Coturnix japonica: one gene and its partner. The protein of the gene in region 1 purifies or fractionates together with the protein of each later gene. This does not show direct contact. Links are inferred from orthologs where the notes say so. Each region holds a gene or a part of one and is shown on either strand. Other genes may lie near its edges. The genes, in order: DNMBP and BIN3.

Region 1 (10,507 bases):
ACAAGTCAGGTTGGACTACTGGAAAACACCACTCCTGTGGCAGCAAGGTCTGAGGCACAAGGAGGGGTTTTGTGAGCTCGGAACAAGACTTCCTCATAGTATCCCTGTCTCTTATGCTTGAGAAGGTCTTCCCTTTCTGAAATGTGGTAATTTCAGGTGTTTCTTGCTGCTAATGAACTTCCCACTGTGTCTCAGCCATAGGTCCCGATCTGCCTGCAGACCCCACGCAATGGAAGCTGGCTCTGTGGTACGAGCAGTCTTTGATTTCTGTCCCAGCGTTTCTGAGGAGCTGCCCCTCTTTGTGGGAGATGTCATCGAGGTGCTGGATGTGGTGGATGAGTTCTGGCTGCTTGGCAAAAAGGAAGGCGTCACAGGTAAGAGCTGGAGGTGTCCATACCTAGATTTGTAGGTGCTCAGGGCATCTTCCCTGGCCTTCACTCTGCCAGTGGAACATGCATTTTACTAAATCTTTTGCTGGACTTCAGTTGGGACTGAGGATGCGGGTTCCCTGCCACCAATCTCCTGCAAGCTGCACCTCTAAAGTTCAGACAGCTCAGTTGTTTTTTGAGAGGTCAGTGTTGTGTCACTCCTCAAGGCGGGAGCTTCATAACACTAGGTGCTAGCTGCATCCTCTATGGTGGGACAGCCCATTTCCTGGCTAGTTTATGTGCTGACCTGCTGTGGCACTGGAAGGGGAGAGGAAACAGATGCACTGAGAATGGAAATGCTAAGTGACCTTGTCAGGTCAAGTCAGTGGGAGATTCCGTGTCCCCCTTGGAACCCTCTGACTCAGTCCTGCTTCCTCCTTTCTGCTTTAAAACACTTTCCCAAGCAAGCTGCCATCAATACCTGGGCGCCTTAAGTAGTGTGCAAGTCTGTTAAACTTGGGGTAAGTGTGAGAAACTTTTGAAGCAGCAAAATGCTCTTAGTGAAACACTAAAAGTCTCATCCTGTTTTATGCAGCCCTTTCTCATCTTCATACTGATGTTGAGAAGACACGTGAGCTCTCAGCAAGATGAAAACCAGGCCACTTCAAAGCATAAGCCCCACTCCTTGCTCAGCATGAGAGGAGTGCTGCACTTCCAGGCCTGGCTGTGGAGATGGGGCTGCCTTGCAGCAGCAGTCTGGGCTCTGCTGCCAGCTGTGGGCTGTCAGGCGCCTGTCTCTGTGTAAAACAAAGATGGACAGGAGCAAAGGTGGAGAGGAGGGATTTTCTCCTGTGCTCCATTTAGCTGATAAATGGCATTAAATGAGTGCATGCCTAATCCTGCTGCTGCTGAAGTTACGGGGTACAAATTACTTATGCAGAAATCACCAGCAGCTACTTCACCACTGTTATTTCTCCCGGTGTAACTGATGCACTCATTCTCAAGAAGATGAAGTTATGAAGGAACAACAAACAGATGTATATCGTAGCTCAAAGATAAAGAAACACACTGAAGTCAAACAGCGTGTTTTTAGTGACCTTTAACTCAAACTCCTTTTGCATTCCCGCTTTTCCTTGGAACAGCTGTTGTAGTTTTCTGCCCAGTTTTCTAAGCTAAAGTTTCAGGGGATTGAAAAAGCACTTTTTAGTAGAAGCTGTGGCAGTGCTGCAGCCTACCAATAATAATACTTAATGCTCTATGGGGAATAATTAGTGTAGCTCCATTATTTCCTTCCTAACACTCTTAGGTTGTTTCCATGTACAGAGCAGGAAACTGGCATGGAAAAAAAGAGGAGTTGGTTAAAACTGTAAAGGAAGCCACTGAAACTGGAAGCCTGTGGGCTGTTGGTTCCACCTCAGGTTAATGACAGCAGGTGGGAAACTGCCTAGTCCCAGTTGAAAGTACTGAATGCCTTCAATATGATGTCTCCAAGTTTTTGTAGAGAATGTAAACATCATATTGAGTGGACATCACGAGTGAATGCTGGAAGTGCTGCTGGCCCATATTCCATCATTTCTCTCTGCAACAGATTGTAAAAGATTGCAGTGACATTTGTAGTGGGCTTTGCAGTGGGCTCTGCTATATCCAGTGATCCTGGGACTGACATCAGTAGCTGGGTAAGGTCTTAAAATGGCCAACAAGCGTGCGTAGCTTTGCCTGCTCAGAATAGCTGGGCATCCAGCAGTGGGTGCCATGGTGAAATACCTGCATGAGGTGGTAAAATGGGGAAGGTCCCTGCAGCCTTAGCAGTGCTGCAGCTGTGGCAGTGCCTCTGGATCACAGACCTGGCCTTCCCAAGTTTGGTATCATGACTTCAGTGCTGAGGCTGTGCTGGGGCCAAGCCTTACAGAGCAGGAAGCACAAGGTAGATATGCCCTGTCAGAAGACACTGGTCTTGTGGTCTAGCACTACTGGATCCCAGTCCTTGTCATGGCAGTGATTGGTGAATTGAGCAGAGGAAGAGGAGAAAACCTGGTATGTCTGTTCCCAGGAACTCAGTGTTGATAGTATTGGTTGCCTGGAGCGAGCCAAAGACATAATGATTTTTGTTCTGTTAGTATTTAAATCCGCAGAAATTTCCTCTTCCTCCACGCTGCCGATGTTCCCTGGGTAGCTATGGATGCAGCATTTTCCTTTAGCAAGAGAAGTAGATTCCAGGGTCTGGAAGGAGGGTGGAGGGAGTTGTGGTGGGCTACAGGAAGGACTCATTGCTGACAGCTGCTTCTCATTTCAGGGCAGTTTCCTAGCAGCTTTGTGGAACTGGTGGATATTCCCCTTCTGAAGCAGGGAGAGAAGCTGTTTGTTTGTACCAGTGACTTCACATCTCAAGAGCCAGGGAGCTTGTCATTGCAGAGAGGTAATCCCTGTCCTCTTCCTTTGCTTTGCATCTCATAGACACCTTCCCTTCTTCTAGAAGCATGGGGTGAGCCTAGTTGCAGCATCCTGCCTAGAGCGGCAGAGAAAAATTTTTCGATTCCCCACAGCATGTGAACCTTTGTGTTCCTGCCACCTCTCAATACCAATTTCTTATTTCTTATTTCTTACCCTTGAAACTCCAAATGCTAGAGTTGTGTGATTACAGTAGACTTACAGCTGCCATTTAATTGCACTCCCATCCCTAAATCCTAGACATGTGTTTGAGAGGGGGTGGGAGGGAATCAATCTGTAAAGCTACTTGACTGTTAGAAACTCATTTCAAACTGTGAATCTTAGTTATGTGTGTGCATGAGACTGCTGATGCTTCATGCCTCACCTCCAGTCTGTGCTCTTGTGCACCCCCAGAAAACTGCACTTCATGTGGAGTGCCAGACCTTACCCACAGCCAGTAAGGCCACAGGAAGGCAGGAACAAGAGGTGAGAAGCAATCAGGAGGGCAGTTTTGAACTGGTATGTCTCATTCCCTACAGGAGACTTGGTGATCCTGAGTGGTCCTCTGGCCTCCAGCTGGCTCCAAGGCAGAAGCAGCTGTGGTTCCAAGGGCTTTTTCCCTTCATCATGTGTGAGGGAGTTGCACCTTACAGTTCGGAGCTGTCAGTTCTCCCACAGCTCTCTCCTGGAGGTACCTGCCTACTCACTGGGCCAAGCCAGGGCCTTGATGGGTCTTTCTGCTCAGCTGGAGGAGGAGTTGGACTTCAGAGAAGGGGATGTGATCAACATCGTTGGCATACCAGAGCCTGGTTGGTTTGAGGGGGAGCTCCAAGGCCGCAGGGGCATTTTCCCAGAAGGTTTTGTGGAGCTGCTTACTCCTCTGAGAGCAGCAGGAACTTCAGTGGATCAAGAGCCTGCAGGGCGTTGTGACACCAATGGGACAGTGCCTACCAAGCAGGAGGAAGATGGCAGAGAGAATGGAGGGCAGGAGCCAGGGAGCACCTATGGTGTTGCCTTGTACCAGTTCCAAGCTTTGGAGTCTGAGGAACTGGATTTTGATGTGGGTGACAGGATTCGGATTGTGGGCATTCTGGAGGATGGCTGGCTAGAGGGGGAACTGAGGGGGAAACGTGGTATCTTCCCACACAGATTTGTGAGACTGGAGGCTTCTGACCTTTACAGGGAAAAGGTGGGTGCTGGTGATCCCCTGGCTGGAGGCAGCTGTGAGGTGATTATCCATCAAGACTTAGAGAGCACCTGTTCCAGAGTTCTCCCTTTGCTGGAAAAAGATAGCTGGGACAAGGAGGATGGCTTGGTTGCACACCCTGAGCCTGACACTGTTGTGTCTCACATGGCAGGGAGATCTGAGGCTCCTTTGAGCACTGACTTGAGGCAGTGTCAGGCCTTTCCTGATGCAGGGCTCCAGGAATTACATCCTGGAACCACAGCAGATTCCCTCCCTTTTGAATGCACAAAGACAGTCAATGGCCTTCTCCACTCTACTCAGCTGCCTCCGCAGCATAGCAGTGAGCCAGGCCAAGCAGGTGTATTGGAACCTCCAGCCCTGCCTGAGCGTGATGGCAGCAGACCCACCATGCCCTCACAGACTCCCTGCTCCCCACCAGACATTTGTGGAAGCCAGGCCATTCCTCCTCCTAGCAGCTGGGCAGCATCAGAGCCCCAGGAGAAGCAGAGCAGCATCCAGGACCTGGATGGTTGGGTGGATGACCAGCAGAAGTCCAAACCATGTTCTTCTGGCTGGGGAGGTGTCCACATGGGTCTGGATACACGGGCTGGGAGCTGGAGCGAGTGCTCCTCACTGGCAGCACAGGGGCACAGTGGCACAGACCTTGACTCAAAACTGACAGAGCAACTGGTGCAGTTTGAGAAGAGTCTGTCGAGTACCAGTGCTGAGCAGGACAAGGTCTCTCGTCACTTCTCTATCTTGGACTATAGCTCTGAGAATGACATTGTTCGTGGGTCTCCCAAGTGTGCCCCCCTTGCCAAGCTGCCAGAAAGGAGGAAGGCCCTAAGACCACCCCCTCCTCGGCCCAGCACCCTTGCAACAACTCCCATGCCCAAAGGCCGGTCTCTGTCATTCTCGGTGAAGCCCTCCCGGCCCGCTCCCCGGCCTCCGTCAAGCACTCAGAGAAGGAGCGTGGTCCCTCCACAGCTGCAACCCAATGTAGCAGAGCAGCATGCAGAGGAAAGCCGTGAGGATGCAACACAGACAGGATCAGCTTCTCCCTGCTCCATCTTGCTGATGAGGATTGGAGAGCTGGAGCGAGACCTGGAGGCTTACAGGAAGACCCGCACTGAGCTCACCTTGCTGCTGGAGGAGCAGCAGGATGAGCTGGTGAGAGCAGAGACCCTGGAGAACCTTGATTTCTGTGACTCCAACATTGAGAGCCTCAGTGCAGAGCTGCAGGAGCTGAGAGGTGAGTACAGCAGCATGGAACAGAGGTTCTTTGGGACAACTGTCCCCTCCAGGTACAGGCACCACTTGAGCCAGTCTTTAATTCTTGATTTGGGTCATTTTTGTTAATGCTGTGGTGCTGCAAATTGTCATGATTTGGCTTTATTCTAGGAGAAGAGAGTTGTCTGGTTTATATGGGCACATCTGGGCTCTGAAGACCCATATGATATTGAGATCAGTGCTGTTAACTATGTTATACTTGGTAATACAATAGACAAAGTGGAAGCAGGATCACATACATCTCCCACAGTCCCTTTTCCCCACTTATCCAAGGAGCTCTTACAGTGTGCTTCTGTTCCTAAAACCCACGATGTGCAGGAAATGTGGGCACTGCATGCGGGAGGTGGAGTGAAATGCCAGCTCCTGCCTCAGAATTACTCATTCTGACTTCATTGCCTCCAGCCTCCCACCACTTAATCAACACCGTGGAGTCCAGGAGCTCTGATGCAGAGCACGTGGGAATGAAGGGTGATATCAGTGCACAGGGTGACCTGCAGCCTCCGCATCAGTGGAGTGCAAGAGGGATGCTTAGAAGATACAAGGTTTGAAGCTAGGAAAAGGCAAATCTAGGGAAAATTTCTGGGAAATTTTCTGGTGGGGTGGATCATTCTGGGAAATGTTTCCTCTGTCCCATTGCTTCCTGACAGAGGGAGGTCACGCTGAACCCATGCTCTGTTAGTTATCTGAACTGGAAGTTTTAGGCAGGAACTAATGTTCTGGCAGGGACATCTTGCCCATTGATTTGTAGTCCCAGAGGATTTTTCACCCCCTCAAGAGACCCGAGGGTTTGGAATTAGCTTTTCTGATCCTATAGTAAATACTTGCCCTACCTAAGGGCACAGAGTAGGGCTGGAGTAACATTAGGAGGAACCCAACTCCTCTGCGTATCAAAGAAGAAGCAGAAAGTGTGTGTTTTTCTAAAACATGTTTAAAATCTGCAGGTTCCTTCTTGGGCATGTCTTGCATGTACACTGGAGGTTGTGCTAAAGGCCAGATGAGCGCAGGATTTGTTTTCATCCTCTTGCACTTGGAGCAGGAGGCTCTGCCCCAGTGCTGCTTGCCTCCTGCTCTTCCCAGGGGCTGCGGGTGAGGGCTGGAAGAAGGATGGCTCTGCACCAGGTTAGAAGCGAAGCCTGGGGGTTCGGTTTCTCTCAGGATGCATGGAGCAGAGCCCAGCCTCTGCTACGCTACGGTGTTCAGGCTGCATGCTGCCTGCTGGAACTGGCAGGAGTGTGGAGGCAAGGGAAGGAGATCTGGTACGTGCTATCTGCTCTGTGGTTCCCCAGTCTCACATGCACCTTTTCCTTCCCTGGGGATGTTGGTCTTAAGCCATGGCCTCCTCGTGCCCCACTGCTCTCCTTTTCCCTGCCTCCTAGTGGCCCATGGGGAGGCTGCGGGCTCTCCCAAAGCAGTGCAGCCGGTTTGGCCGGTGGGAGTCTGCTTCTAACTGGTTACTGATTAGCTTGGGCAGCAGGTGGAGGAGGCTGGGGCTGGAGGCCATTGGGCACGCGCCTCTTCCTACCTTTGCTGGCTGGTTTCAGGAAGTGCTGCCTGCGTTGAATTGCGTTGCGTTGTACCTGGGAAGGAAGCGTCAGAGCAGAGAGAGAAGAGGTGTCAGCCCGGGTGTGGGCTCAAGGAGCGGGAGCAAAGGGAGCTGCAACCCAGCAGGACGATGTGCTCTTATCCTGGGACAGAACATGGCACAGAGAAACCAAGGCAGGAGCCCCGGCTCCTCAGCTGGGAGTATGAAGATTGTGCTGCGAGGAGAGGGGACGTCATGGGCCTGCACAGTGAGAGTCGCTGGAACGAGAGACCCAGGGTGAAGAGGGGAGCAGACAGAGGCTGGGACAGTGACTGGAGAGGGGAGGGCATCTCTGTGGATGGATGGAGCGGGAACGGAGACTGTGAAGGCTTTTGGAAGGCGGATAACCAGTACACGGACTATAGGAGAGCAGACAATGTTTGGAAAGGCAAAATCCCATTTACAAAGGACAGAAATTGTGGAGTGAATGAGAGGGAGGGTGTTCAATACAGAGGCTGTAATCCCAAGGAGGGAGAAGGGCAGTACAGAGGAGACAGAGGGCCTGGGGAGGGTAGGGAGGGGGGAAGGCGGTACAGAGAGGACAGAGGCCCTGGAGAGTACAGGGAAGGCAGAAGGTGTCATAAGGATGGAGATCCTAGGGACTATAGTAGGGATGGGAGATACTGTGGGGAAAGGGAAAGGCAGTGTAGGCAGGACAGGGGATATAGGGAAGGGGAAAGGCAGTATAGAGAAGACGGAGGTTATCAAGTAGGCAGGGAAAGAAAAAAGTGGCATAGAGAGGCTGGAGGCTGTGAGGAATTTAGAGAGCAGGAAAGGCAGTATGTAAACATCAGGGATCTGGAGGATCATGGAGATTCTGAACAGCACAGGCAGCTGAAAGGTGTTGCCATGGACTGCAGTGATCCGTCTGGAGGTCATGGAGCTCACTTGTTGACATCCTGGTCCTCAGGAGACACCAGCAGCCTGGGGTCAAACACGTCCTGCAGACAGTCAGGGATGCAGGACATGGGCTGCAATGGCTGTGGGGAACCAGAACGAGCACAGCACTCAAGGGTCCGCACGGGCCGGCCAGACTGGAGTCACATCTGGGAGCAGGAGGCCAAGGAAGAGAGCAGGACAGGCTCTTCACTGCAGAGAAACAGTTTGTACAGGAGGACGGCTCCCAGCACCTTGCGGCGCTCAGAATTTGTACAGACCAGGAAGGAGAAACACGGTATGCAGAGAAATGCTTGGGAGGTGTCGGTGCGGTGGCCTTGGGCATTCCTTAACCCTGCCCTCGTCCTGAGGCAGCAGGGTTCCTGAGGAAATCCTGGGGATGCACACAACTTTGTGCATTTAGGTCTCTCGTTGCACAGTGGTGGGGTCTGGGTAGGATGAGTGAAGGAGACCTTTGTGTTGGGCAGATGTGTGTCCGAGGACCTGTTTGCAGTTGTACCCTTTCTGCCAGCATTTGTCTCAGGTACCCATGCATGTGCTGCCCTTGGAGGAGGCTGGAGTGCAGAGTACAGCACAGCAGTGCAGCAAACACCCAGGCAGCAGGGCTGCAGGCCGTGGCTGGCTATCAGCTTACAGTGAAATTTGTTCTCTCGAGGTATTTGATTCAGCAGACTCCAGAGGCTGCATTTCTGCACTGTGTTGGTAGGTGGGACTTTGCTCAGTCTCATCTCCAGGGCAAGGGAGTGGTTTTGTGGTGCCAGGATGATCAAAGGGCATCTGGGAAGCTAGGAGGGGCTAGGGGCAGAGCTTGGGGAGGCTCAGAATGGGGCAGGGGCAGCCTGCAGGAGCTGCATCTGAGGAAACAAGCAGATAACTCCCAGATGGGCCTGGGGAACTCTGCAGCATAGTGACAGTTCTTTGGTTAAAGCATCTCTGAGATAAGATTTGGATGTGTCTGCCCAGTGCTCTAAGCAGAGACCCCACCTGTTTGGTGGTGCTGGATACTCATCCTCACTCCAGAATGTTTTGCATGCTGATGTGTTGCTTTTCAGCTTTCAATTCCCAACCTTTATCTGCTAAATTGGAGCTTTTTAGTTGATGATATTTTTTTTTCCCTGTGTTAAACCTGTTGGTTTGAGTAATTCTATCTTGTTCAAAATACCTAAGCTTTGTTAGTGATGGGTATGCAGCATCCTTATTAGTGATCATACAGAATCGATGTTTGGTTCTCTACAGAACCACAGTGGTTTTTCCATTTACTTTGAAAATATTATGTCCGACCAACTCTAAACACAGTCCCTGGAGAATCTCATTGCAAGTGTCTTCTTTTCTAGATGTTGTCCCCAGGCAAGTTTCAAATGCTAATCTGCAAGGTCTTTCTTCTGTTTTTCAAATAGGAAGAGACAATATTTACCATATAATTCTGCCTTTTTCATCAAACTTATCAAGAATTCTACTCTCCCTCCTTACTAATGGGATTAGGTCATTGAAAAGCTTTCTCTTGTCCGGAGTGGAAATGAAATTGGATTATAAAGTAGTACTTTTTTCCTTCATTTGAAACTAAAACTTCTTATTTCTGCCATGAATCATTTTTGAATATCTTCCTTCTCATTTTTCTGTCTTTTTCAGTTCCTGGTGTTTATTGTCTATTGTCTGTTTTTCTATATTCATTCATGTATCTGTTTACATTTGCTGATTTAGCTGAAGCACAGACCCATCGTTATTGTTCTCTTCCTTGATTGCATAACAGTGTTTGGATTATCTGCTTAAAATACCCTATTAATGACCTTTCATTTTCCATTATTTATTTATTTATTATGCTGGCATTTTTGCTCACAATCATTTTTATTGGTGGTCTGCTCAGTGGTGTTGAAGCGGATGGTAGAGAAGTACAGCCAGGAGGCATGTGGATCCCATCTGCCTTAAGGGCAACTGGGACAGGGCTCTCCCAGGAAGACCATATGAATCCCTCCCAGGGCTCCTCATGTGTCTGCCAATGAGAATCTCATGAGCCCTGTCTTCCTCCAAGGCTCAGGCATGTGCTTTGCTGCAGTTCCACCTTCACCAGAGGACCTCAGAGGGAACCAGTGGGTTCCAGGTGGGACAACTTTGAGATGAGTCCTGGTATTCCTGGAGAAATGCCACCCCCCAGTCTGTTCCTCTTCAGCTCATCCTTAGGGTTTGGATTTCTGTCACTGCTCCCAGGGGGGAAGTGAAATATTCAATGTATTTAGTTTGTTGCTTTCAGAGTAGTGGATGTATCTGTTACGGGCTTACTGTCTAAATCCAGAGTGAGTTTTCACCCCAGCCAGATCCTGCGCCTGGCAGGGAGCTTAGCCTTTCCCTCAGATTAATTATTCCCCGCCCTAGTTTCATCCCCTCTCCTCTCTTGCTAGGCAGTAACCCCTCCCCTCCCAGCGTTCACATACTTCAAATATTTGCAGCTGGTTTGTTTTGTCCTTAGTCACTGCTTGGCTGTGCTGAGCTGTGAGCCCAAGGCTGGGCTTTTCTTGCAGGCTCAAAATCAGAGGCTGGTGCTGAGTGAGGCTGCACAGGGCTTGTCCTCAGCACTGGAGCTCCTTGAGTTTGGCCTGGGAGCTGGCCCTTCTTTGTTGCTTGCTGAGTTACCCTCCTCCTGAAGGAGTCAGGGGCAGAGCCAGCTCCAACTGCAGCAGCCGATGGACAGCACGGCCCTCCCTGGACTGGGTTAGCAGTGCGAGCACAGTGAGACAGGGGATGCTGGCAGGTGAGCCCTGA
Region 2 (11,252 bases), on another chromosome or scaffold:
AACGCAACGCAGCAACACAACACAATGCAACACAACAGCACAACGCGAAACAACGCAACACACACAACACGACACACAACACAACACGATGCACAACACAACACAATGCACAACACACACAACACAGCAACACAACACACAACACAACACAACGCACAACACACGACACAATGCAACACACACAACATACAACGCAACACAACACACAACACAGAATGCACAACACACAACACACAACACAATGCAACACACACAACATACAACGCAACACAACACACAACACAACACAGAATGCACAACACACACAGCACAGCAACACAACACAACACATGACACACAATGCAACACAACACAACAGAATGCACAACACACACAATGCAGCACAGCAACACAACACAACGCACAACACACACAACACAGCAACACAACACACAACAGAACACAATGCACAACACAGAACACAACGCAACACAACGCACAACACACAGCACAGCAACACAACACAACACAAAACACAACGACACAACGCAACACAACACACAACACAACAGAATGCACAATGCAGCACAGCAACACAACACAACACAACAGAATGCACAACACACAATGCAGCACAGCAACACAACACAACGCACAACACACAACGCAGCACGACACGACACACAACGCAACACACACAACACAACGCGCGCGAAAAAGGCAAAAAAAAAGGCAAAAAAAAATAAAGGGGGGAATGATATTTTTTGAGAGACTTTTGTATCAAAGTTGAGTACTTAGAGAAAAAAAAGAAAAAAAAAGGCAAAAAAAAACCTAAAAACATGCAAAAAAAATAACCAAAAAGAAACAAAAAAGGGCCGCTCCAGATGTAATATATTTTGTGGATGTTTTTATTTCTTTATAGTACCTTATACTAAGGTTAAAACAGAAAAAAAAACATTAAAAAAGGAAAAAAAAAAAAGAAAAAAAATTGTAAAAAACAACCTCTTTCACCCCAACCCCCACATCCCCGAAATAATGAATAATAATAATTAATAATATTAATAATGATGATGATAATGAAACCCGGTATCGTGAGAAGGTGACGATTTTCACCCCCATTTCATGGCTCATCCCCGCTGTAACCATCCGCCGATGCCGTAAATATATCATTGTGTTTGGCTGCCTCCCGGCCCTTCTTTGAGCACCACTCGAGGGCAGGGATGGGGATTTGGGGAGGGGGCTTCCCTTCTTTGGTGTGTGGTTTGGTTGGAAGGGTCCCCATTGTGATGGGGTCGGTTGGGTTGAGAGACCCTATGGGGTTAGTTGGGTTGAGAGACCCTATGGGGTTGGTTCAGTTGAGCGACCCTATGGGGTCGGTTGGGTTGAGCAGCCCTATGGGGTTGGTTGGGTTGAGCAGCCCTATGGGGTTGATTGGGTTGAGAGACCCTATGGGGTTGGTTGGGTTGAGCAGCCCTATGGGGTCGGTTGGGTTGAGAGACCCTATGGGGTTGGTTGAGTTGAGCAGCCCTATGGGGTCAGTTGGGTTGAGCAGCCCTATCAGGTTGGTTGGGTTGAGAGACCCTATGGGGTCGGTTCAGTTGAGCGACTCTATGGGGCTGGTTGGGTTGAGAGACCCTATGGGGTCGGTTGGGTTGAGCAGCCCTATGGGGTTGGTTGGGTTGAGCAGCCCTATGGGGTTGGTTGGGTTGAGAGACCCTATGGGGTTGGTTCAGTTGAGCGACCCTATGGGGCTGGTTGGGTTGAGAGACCCTATGGGGTCGGTTGGGTTGAGCAGCCCTATTGGGTTGGTTGGGTTGAGTGACCCTATGGGGTCTGTTGGGTTGAGCAGCCCTATCAGGTTGATTGGGTTGAGAGACCCTATGGGGTTGGTTCAGTTGAGCGACCCTATGGGGCTGGTTGGGTTGAGAGACCCTATGGGGTTGGTTGGGTTGAGCGTCCCTATTGTGTTGGTTGGGTTGAGCAGCCCTATGGGGTTGGTTCGATTGAGAGACCCTATGGGGTTGGTTGGGTTGAGCGACCCTATGAAGCTGGCATTGAGGGGCTGGTTGGGTGGCTCGGCCCCATAGTTCGGCCCCACAACCTCCATGCCCTGCAGCGTTGGGTTTTTCCACCTCTGGCCCCACAGGGGATTTATTAAGGCTCAGAGGTGGCGTCCGATGGCACAAAGAGGATCTGGTGGTTCAGCCCTTAATGCGGCGGTGCCGCAGGTGTTGGTTAGAAGGATTTCTGCTCAGGTTATAAATAACGGGGATTTCGGGGCCGGCGCTCGGAGCCGCGTCGGGGCGAGGAGGGGTGATGGGTAAATCCCACAGCTGAGCCCACGCGTGGCCACAACGCTCTGCTTCCCATCCTTGGGGTGATCCATCCTTCCCAATGGGGGGCAGAGGTTGGGGCTGGTGCTGGTGCTTTGGGGTCAAGCAATGATGGGCAATGGGGTCGCCGGGTGGACGCCAATGGGGCACCGTTGTGTTGGGGCACCATTGGGGTCATAACGGTGACATCCCAAGCAACGTTGGGGTGATCCATCCTTCCCTATGGGGAACAGAGGCTGGGGCTGGTGCTATGGGGTCAAGCAATGGTGAGCAATGGGGATGCCGGGTGGACACCATTGGGTTGGGGCACCATTGGGGTCATAATGGTGACAGCCCAACCAATTTTGGGGTGATCCGTCCTTCCCTATGGGGAGCAGAGGTTGGGGCCATTGCTGGTGCTATGGGGTCAAGCAATGATGGGCAATGGGGACGCCAGGTGGGCACTATTGGGTTGGGGCACCACTGGGGTCATAACGATGACATCCCAACCAATCCCGCTGTGGGTCGGATCCCACTCCCCATAGGGCCATCACCCTACAGCAGGGCCACCACCCCATTACCACCCCATCCACAATGCCATCCCCCTTCCCCATCCCCATCCCCCACAAGGCATTTGGACCCGATATCCCCATCAATTCCCTTCCAACCCAATGACCCAACGACCCTCTATGCCCCATATCTTCCTCCCCCCACCCCATATCCCTCTCCCCCCATCCCACGTCCCCTCTCCCCATACCCGTGGGCACAATCCGGCGCTCACCTCCCTCGATCCCTCAGCCCTAATCCCGTGTCCTCACCGGTGTGTGTAACACCTTCTCAATTTAGCAGCATCAGCTGCGACGTTAATTAACGCTCTGTTTACCTGCTGCTAATTAATGAACCCAGCCCTGGCACCGCTAATAACCCACGACCAGCCATCGCCCAATTTCATGTTGTTTAGCCCCAAAGCCAACGCTCTGTCCCTATGGGGAACCCAAAACTCCATCCCTATGGGGGACCCAAAACTCCATCCCTATGGGGAACCCCAATACTCCGTCCCTATGGGGAACCCAACATGTGGGATATGGGATATGGGATATGGGATATGGGATGTGGGATGTGGGATGTGGGATATGGGATATGGGATATGGGATATGGGATATGGAATATGGGATGTGGGATGTGGGATGTGGGATATGGGATATGGGATGTGGGATATGAGATATGGGATATGGGATATGGGATATGGGATGTGGGATATGAGATATAGGATATGGGATATGGAATATGGGATGTGGGATGTGGGATGTGGGATATGGGATATGGGATGTGGGATATGGGATGTGGGATATGGGATGTGGGATGTGGGATATGGGATATGGGATATGGGATATAGGATATGGGATATAGAATATGGGATATGGGATGTGGGATATGGGGTATGGGATATAGGATATGGGATGTGGGATATGGGATATGGGATATGGGATATGGGATATGGGATATGGGATATGGGATATGGGATATGGGATATGGGATATGGGATATAGGATATGGGATATAGAATATGGGATATGGGATGTGGGATATGGGATATGGGGTATGGGATATAGGATATGGGATGTGGGATATGGGATGTGGGATATGGGATATGGGATGTGGGATATGGGATATGGGATGTGGGATATGGGATATGGGATATGGGATATGGGATGTGGGATGTGGGATATGGGATATGGGATATGGGATGTGGGATGTGGGATATGGGATATGGGATGTGGGATATGGGATATAGGATATGGGATATGGGATATGGGATATGGAATATGGGATGTGGGATATGGGATATGGGATGTGGGATGTGGGATGTGGGATGTGGGATATGGGATGTGGGATATGGGAATGTGGATATTGCGGATGTCGCGATATGGGATATGGGATGTGGGATGAGGGGGGGGCGGCGGGGGCGGGGGGGGGGCGCGGGGGGGGGGGGGGGGGAGGGGGGGGGGGGGGGGCGGGGGGGGGGGGGGGGGCAGTGGGGGGGGGGGGAGGGGGTGGGGCAATATGGATATGGGTGTGGGGCCATATGCGGATGGGATATGGGATGTGGGATACTGGGGATACATGCGGATGCTGGGATGTTGGGATATGGATACTGGGATGTGGATATGGCGCATGGGGACTACTGGCATAACTGGATGTGCGCGATATGGGCATATGGGATGTGGGATATGGCGGACTGCGGCGGATACAGCGCTATGGGATTGGGATTAATGGGATTGGGATTGGGATTAAATGGGATTAATGGGATTGGGATTAATGGGATTGGGATCAATGGGATTGGGATGTGGGATATGGGATATGGGATATGGGATGTGGGATATGGGATATGGGATGTAGGATATGGGATATGGGATCCATGACGTCACCCGGCCTCACTCCATCCCGGCACACCAAGGGTTAACACCCCTCGCTCCGTGACGTCACCAAGGGGCCGGAAGAGGCGGCGATTGGCGGCAGCACTTCCGGGATCGGAGCTGGGCCGGGGGAACCATGAGCTGGTGAGTGGGGGGGGGAGAAACGGGACCGAACCGGGAACGAACCGGGACCGAACCGGGACCGAACCGGGACCGAACCGGGACCGAACCGGGAACGAACCGGGATCGAACCGGGAACGAACCGGGACAGAACCGGGACAGAACCGGGAACGAACCGGGACCGAACCGGGGATGAACCGGGAACGAACCGGGACCGAACCGGGGACGAACCGGGACTGAACCGGGGCTGTGGGCCGGGATGAACCCGGAGGGGCTCCAGGGGCGGTTCCTGAACACTGACCCTTATGGGGTCTGGACACTATAACCCTTATGGGATCTGAGCACTATAACCCTTATGGGGTCTGGACACTGACCCTAATGGGGTCTGGACATTAACCCTTATGGGGTCTGGACACTATAACCCTTATGGGGTCTGAGCACTAACCCCTGTGGGGTCCGGACACTGACACTGACCCTTATGGGGTCTGAGCACTATAACCCTTATGGGGTCTGGACACTGACCCTAATGGGGTCTGAGCACTATAACCCTTATGGGGTGTGAGCACTGACCCTTATGGGGTGTGAACATTAACCCTTTTGGGGTATGAACACTGACTCTTGTGGGGTCTGGACATTAACCCCTATGGGGTCTGAGCACTGACCCTTATGGGGTCTGAGCACTATAACCCTTATGGGGTCTGGACACTGACCCTTATGCAGTGTGAGCACTGACCCTTATAGGGTCTGAGCACCAACCCTAATGGGATCTGAACACTGACCCTTATGGGGTCTGAACACTATAACCCTTATGAGGTCTGAACACCGACCCTTATAGGGTCTGAGGCCCTTATGGGGGCTGTACTGCAGTGGGGTGGGTTTGGGGTCTATAGGGTGGGTTGGGGGAGGTATTTGGAGTCAGCAGCTGTGTGATGTATGGGGTGGGCACATAGGCCTTACAGTGATGTATGGGGTGGGTGTGGGGTGGGCAGATAGGCCTTATGGGGTCTATATATTTAGTAGGCACTTATGGACCATATGGGGTGGACTATAGGCTTTGTAGGGCCCACAGTGTGTGGGGTGGGCAGCTCTGGGCCCCACAATGTGTGGGGCAGGCCTTGTAGGGTGGGCAGGTACTGACCATATGGGGTTGGTGGCTGTATATCTATATAGGGTTGGCAGGTCGGTACCGTATGGGGTGTGTGGAGGCCCCACATCCTCCTGTGAGACCCTACAGCCACACAGCACCATATGGGGCTGCTCCATTGCAATAAGGCCAGGAGCTGCATTGGTGCTGCACCGTGGAGTCGTCTTGGGGCTGCATTGGTGCTGCAGCAGCATTGGAGCTGCCTTGGTGCTGACGCGTGGTGATGCTGCATTGGAGCTGCCTTGTTGCTGCTGCACAGAGCTGCCTTGGTGCTGATGCATGGAGCTGCATTGGTGCTGCAGCGTGGAGCTACCTTGATGCTGCTGCATGGAGCTGCATTGATACTCATGCATGGTGATGCTGATGCATTGAGCTGCCTTGGTGCTGATGCATGGAGCTGCTTTGATGCTGATGCATGGAGCTGCATTGATGCTGATGCATGGAGCTGCTTTGATGCTGACGCATGGTGATGCTGATGCATGGAGCTGCCTTGATGCTGCTGCATGGAGCTGCATCGATACTCATGCATGGTGATGCTGATGCATGGAGCTGCCTTGATGCTGCATGGAGCCGCCTTGGTGCTGATGCATGGTGATGCTGCAGCATGGGGCTGCCTTGATGCTGTGGCATGGAGCTGCATTGGTGCAGCATGGAGCTGCATTGGTGCTGCTGCATGGAACTGCCTTGATGCTGCTGCATGGTGATGCTGATGCATGGAGCTGCCTTGGTGCTGCAGCACGGAGCTGCCTTGATGCTGCTGCACGGTGATGCTGATGCATGGAGCTGCATTGGTGATGCAGCATGGAGCCGCATGCTGGCCGACTTGCAATGCACATGCCCCATGCTGCAAGATCCCTTTTGCTTTTGCAGCAGAGCAATAAGACGCTGCTGTGTGAAGGTTTGTGGCTGATCATGGTCCAGCTCCAAACCTCACGTCAGTCATTGAGCGCGTTGCAGCTCATGCGTCAGCATGGAGACACTGCATGGCTGCAGCTGAGTGTGAGCGACACAATCAGCCTCAGTGCAGCCTCAATGCTTGGCCCTCAGCCTGCTTCATTCAGATGAATGGCCCCATTGATGTGGGGCTGAGCTTTGGGGTTGGGTGACGCAGCGGATGCGATGCCCCGTCGTGCTGCGGACGTCAGAGGGGGATGCACCCAGCGTGGGTGCTCCATGCAGGGGGTGAGCTCTGTTACCCAATGGGTGCAGGGTCTGTTTGCTCTCTGTGTCTGCATCACCCCATTGAGGGGCGTCCCATTGCCTTTGGGGTCAGTTATAGGGCTGGATGTGCGTCCTTGGTTCACCCTCGCTGTGATGTGATATGGGATCTCCTCTGACTCGTGGCTCCTGTCTGGTCCTGGTGTTGTTCTTCTTCATCCTTTGCTTTCCCTCCTGTTCAAATAGGGCAGAACCCAACACGTTGCATCCTCAGCATCCTTCCCATTGCACATACAGGAGGCATTACAACCTGCAGGTGGATTAAAGCCCCGTGCAGCTCAGCAGGGCTGCATTTATGGGCTGTGCTCTCTTAGGGTTCAGCCTCTTTTAGAGGCAGGTTGAGGTTTCCTAAAGCTCCGTGGTTCCTTTGGATTATGGGGCTCAGGCAGCTGCTCTTGGTGCCCTCAGAGCCGTGTCAGCCCCATATGGTGCCCCATGCAGCTCCCCATGGATGGAGCAGCTCCCCATGGATGGAGCTGAGCGTGCTGAGCTTCCCATCCCAGCCAGCTCCTCATTCATGGCAGCCTGAAGGGCTCTTGAAGGCTCTTGGAAGCAATTAAGACCAAATCAGCTCATCAATAGAGTCCCTAATTCCTCCTCCTTTGGCTCCTGGGGATGGGTTCGGATCGGCACCGCTGCAACAGCTGCTGTTTGCTGGGAGAAAGAAGCAACGTGCAAAGCAAAGTGATGGTGGGGCAGCACGAAGCACGTGTCTGCTCACTGTGTTATTGATGGGGGAACCCTGAGGGGGCTCAGCCCTATGGCTGTGGGGTGGGGGGCTCTGAGTGGGGCTGTATGGGCACAAAGGGCTTCGTTCTCAGTCTTTGATTGGAACCCGTCCTTGTTATCCCATATAGTTTGGGATGGAGTTGAGTCGACTGTCCTGGGGAGGACAACGGGTTGGGGGTCTGGAGCCCAAACCTTGGGTCCTCCATAGTCAGTGTTCAATGGTTTATGGCCCCACCGTGGTCAGTGGGGCAGTGGGTTGTGGTCATTCCATGGTCATTGACTCGTGGTTCCTATATGATCAATGGCTCATGGGCCTTCCATAGTCAATGGACCTTGGTCAATAGCTCATGGTCCCTCAGTGGTCAGTAGGCCTTGGTCAGTGTCTTGTGGTCCTTCCATAATCAATGGCTCATGGTCCCTCAATGGTCAATGGGTCTTGGTCTATGGCTTGTGATCCCTCCATGGTCAATAGTCAATGGCTCATGGTTCTTCCTTGGCCAACAGGCCTTGGTCAATGGCTTTTGGTCCTTCCATGATCAATGGCTCACGGTCCCTCATTGGTCAGTGGGTCTTGGTCTGTGGCTTGTGGTTCCCCTATGGATAATAGTCAGTGACTTATGGTTCTTCCATGGTCAGTGGGCCTTGGTCAGTGGCTTGCGGTCCCGCCATGGCCATGGCATGGCCTCTATGGCATTGGTCAATGGCTCATGGTCCCTCAGTGGCTAATGGGCCTTGGTCTATGGCTCATGGTCTCTCAATGGTCAATGTACCTTGGTCAATGGCTTATGGTCTCTCAATGGTCAACGGGCCTTGGTCAGTGGCTCGTGGTCCCTCAATGGTCAATGGGCTTTGGTCTGTGGATCGTGGTCCCCCTGTGGTCAATAGCCAATGGCTTGTGGTCCCTCCATGATCAATAGTCAATGGTTCATGGTTCTTCCATGGCCAACAGGCCTTGGTCAATGGCTCATGGTCCTTCCATGGTCAATGGGCTTTGGTCTATGGCTGATGGTCCTTCCATGGTCAATGGGCCTTGGTCTATGGCTGATGGTCCTTCCATGGTCAATGGGCTTTGGTCTGTGGTTCATGGTCCCTCCATGGTAAATAGTCAATGGTTCATGGCTCTTCCATGGCCAACAGTCCTTGATCGGTGGCTTTTGGTCCTTCCATGATCAATGGCTCTTTGTCTCTCAATGGTCAATGGACCTTGGTCAATGGCTCATGGTCCCTCAATGGCTCATGGTCCCTCAATGGTCAATGGGTCTTGGTCAATGGCTTGTGGTCCCTCCATGGTCAATAGTCAATGGCTCATAGTTCTTCCTTGGCCAACAGGCCTTGGTCAATGGCTCATGGTCCCTCAATGGTCAATGGGCCTTGGTCTGTGGTTCATGGTCCCTCCATGGTCAATAGTCAATGGCTCATGGCTCTTCCATGGCCAACAGGCCTTGGTCAGTGGCCCATAGTTTTTCCATGATCAATGGCTCATGGTCTCTCAATGGTCAAGGGGCCTTGGTCTATGGCTCATGGTCCCTCCATGGTCAATAGCCAATGGCTCATAGTCCCTCTATAGTCTATCCAACGCTCCCATTCTCCCCGTCTCCCATCAAAACCAGAGGCTGGATGTGATTCCAGGTGTTGGTGCTGCTGGTTGGACCCATTGATCTCAGTGTTGTTCTCCATCCTTCACAACAGGACGAACCGAAGGGCTGCAGAGCGGCAGCTCCTCGATGGGGATTTCTCCATCATTATTTCTTTGTGCAGGTGGCAAAAAAGCGGCGTTGAAAAAGCAGAGCTGAGCCACAACCACGTTTCACGAGCGTGCTTAAAATGGGTATTTTTGTAGCATAGTCAGGGCCTAAAACAGCCTGTGCAGGATCCAGCTCACCCACGCGCCTGGCGTGAGTAATTGGCTTCTGATGGGTGAGTAAAACATCGGTATAGATTTGTTTCCATGCTCAGTTTGGGATGGGTGGGAGAAGCAGCTTCTGCCATGGGGCTGGATGTGCTCAGTGCCATGGGGTTGGGTTTGCTTGATCCCATAGGGTAGATCCCATAGGGGGGACCCAATAGGGGGGATCCCATAGGATGGATCCCGTACGGTGGATCCCATAGGATGGATCCCATAGGGTGGGTCCCATAGGGTAGATCCCATAAGGTGAATCCCATAGGGTGAATCCCATAATGGGGATCCTATAGGGTGGGTCCCATAGGGTGAATCCCATAATGGCGGTCCTATAGGGTGGATCCCATAGGGGGGGATCCCATAGGATGGATCCCATAGGGTGGGTCCCATAGGTAGGATCCCATAGGGTAGATCCCATAGGGTGAATCCCAATAGGGGGGATCCCATAGGATGCACTGTGGTTGGTGGCCATAGAGCCCACCTGCAGGCTCCATCCATAGGGTAGATCCCATAGGACGGATCCCATAGGGTAGATCCCATAGGGGGGATCCCAATAGGGGGGATCCCATAGGGTAGATCCCATAGGGGGGATCCCATAGGATGGATCCCATTGGGTGGATCCCATAGGGGGGATCCCATAATGGGGATCCTATAGGGTGGATCCCATAGGGTAGATCCCATAGGGGGGATCCCATAGGATGCACTGTGGTTGGTGGCCATAGAGCCCACCTGCAGGCTCCATCCGTAGGGTGGATCCCATAGGATGGATCCCTTAGGATGGATCCCATAGGGTGGGTCCCATAGGGGGGATCCCATAGGATGGATCCCATTGGGTGGATCCCATAGGGAGGATCCCATAGGGTAGATCCCATAGGGGGGATCCCATAATGGGGATCCTGTAGGGTGGGTCCCATAGGGTGGATCCCATAGGGGGCATCCCATCAGATGGATCCCATCGGATGGATCCCATTGGGTGGATCCCATAGGGGGGATCCCATAAGGTGAATCCCATAATGGGGATCCTATAGGGTGGATCCCATAGGGGGGATCCCATAGGGTAGATCCCATAGAGTGAATCCCATAGGATGCACCATGGGATGGTGGCCATAGAACCCACCTGCAGGCTCCATCCATAGGGTGGATCCCATAGGATGGATCCTATAGGGCGGATCCCATAGGATGGATCCCATAGGGCGGATCCCATAGGGTGGATCCCATAGGGCGGATCCCATAGGGTGGATCCCATAGGGTGGATCCCATAGGATGCACTGTAGGATGGTGGCCATAGAGCCCCCCTGCAGGCTCCATCCATAGGGTGGATCCCATAGGGTAGATCCCATAGGATGGATCCTATAGATCCAGCCCCATGGTAACCCCCAGCCCCATGGCAGCCTCCCTGCCCCATGGTAACCCTCAGCCTCATAGCAGCTCCC

The links.
Region 2: the proteins of DNMBP (region 1) and BIN3 purify together in Homo sapiens (co-immunoprecipitation; 5 studies listed by BioGRID and IntAct, counting the BioPlex papers as one, with this or other methods). This does not show direct contact. The link is inferred for Coturnix japonica from reciprocal best matches to the Homo sapiens genes DNMBP and BIN3.

What each region holds. Positions count from the first base shown.
Region 1 is NC_029521.1:19,220,038-19,230,544, forward strand, and holds the start of DNMBP (dynamin-binding protein), read left to right. Parts: upstream 1-67; 5' UTR 68-172; coding exon 173-374; intron 375-2,661; coding exon 2,662-2,784; intron 2,785-3,334; coding exon 3,335-5,233; intron 5,234-6,723; exon of another isoform or gene 6,724-6,943; coding exon of another isoform or gene 6,944-8,027; intron 8,028-10,507. UniProt on the Homo sapiens protein: Plays a critical role as a guanine nucleotide exchange factor (GEF) for CDC42 in several intracellular processes associated with the actin and microtubule cytoskeleton.
Region 2 is NC_029537.1:2,516,412-2,527,663, forward strand, and holds the start of BIN3 (bridging integrator 3), read left to right. Parts: upstream 1-4,754; 5' UTR 4,755-4,844; coding exon 4,845-4,852; intron 4,853-11,252. UniProt on the Homo sapiens protein: Involved in cytokinesis and septation where it has a role in the localization of F-actin.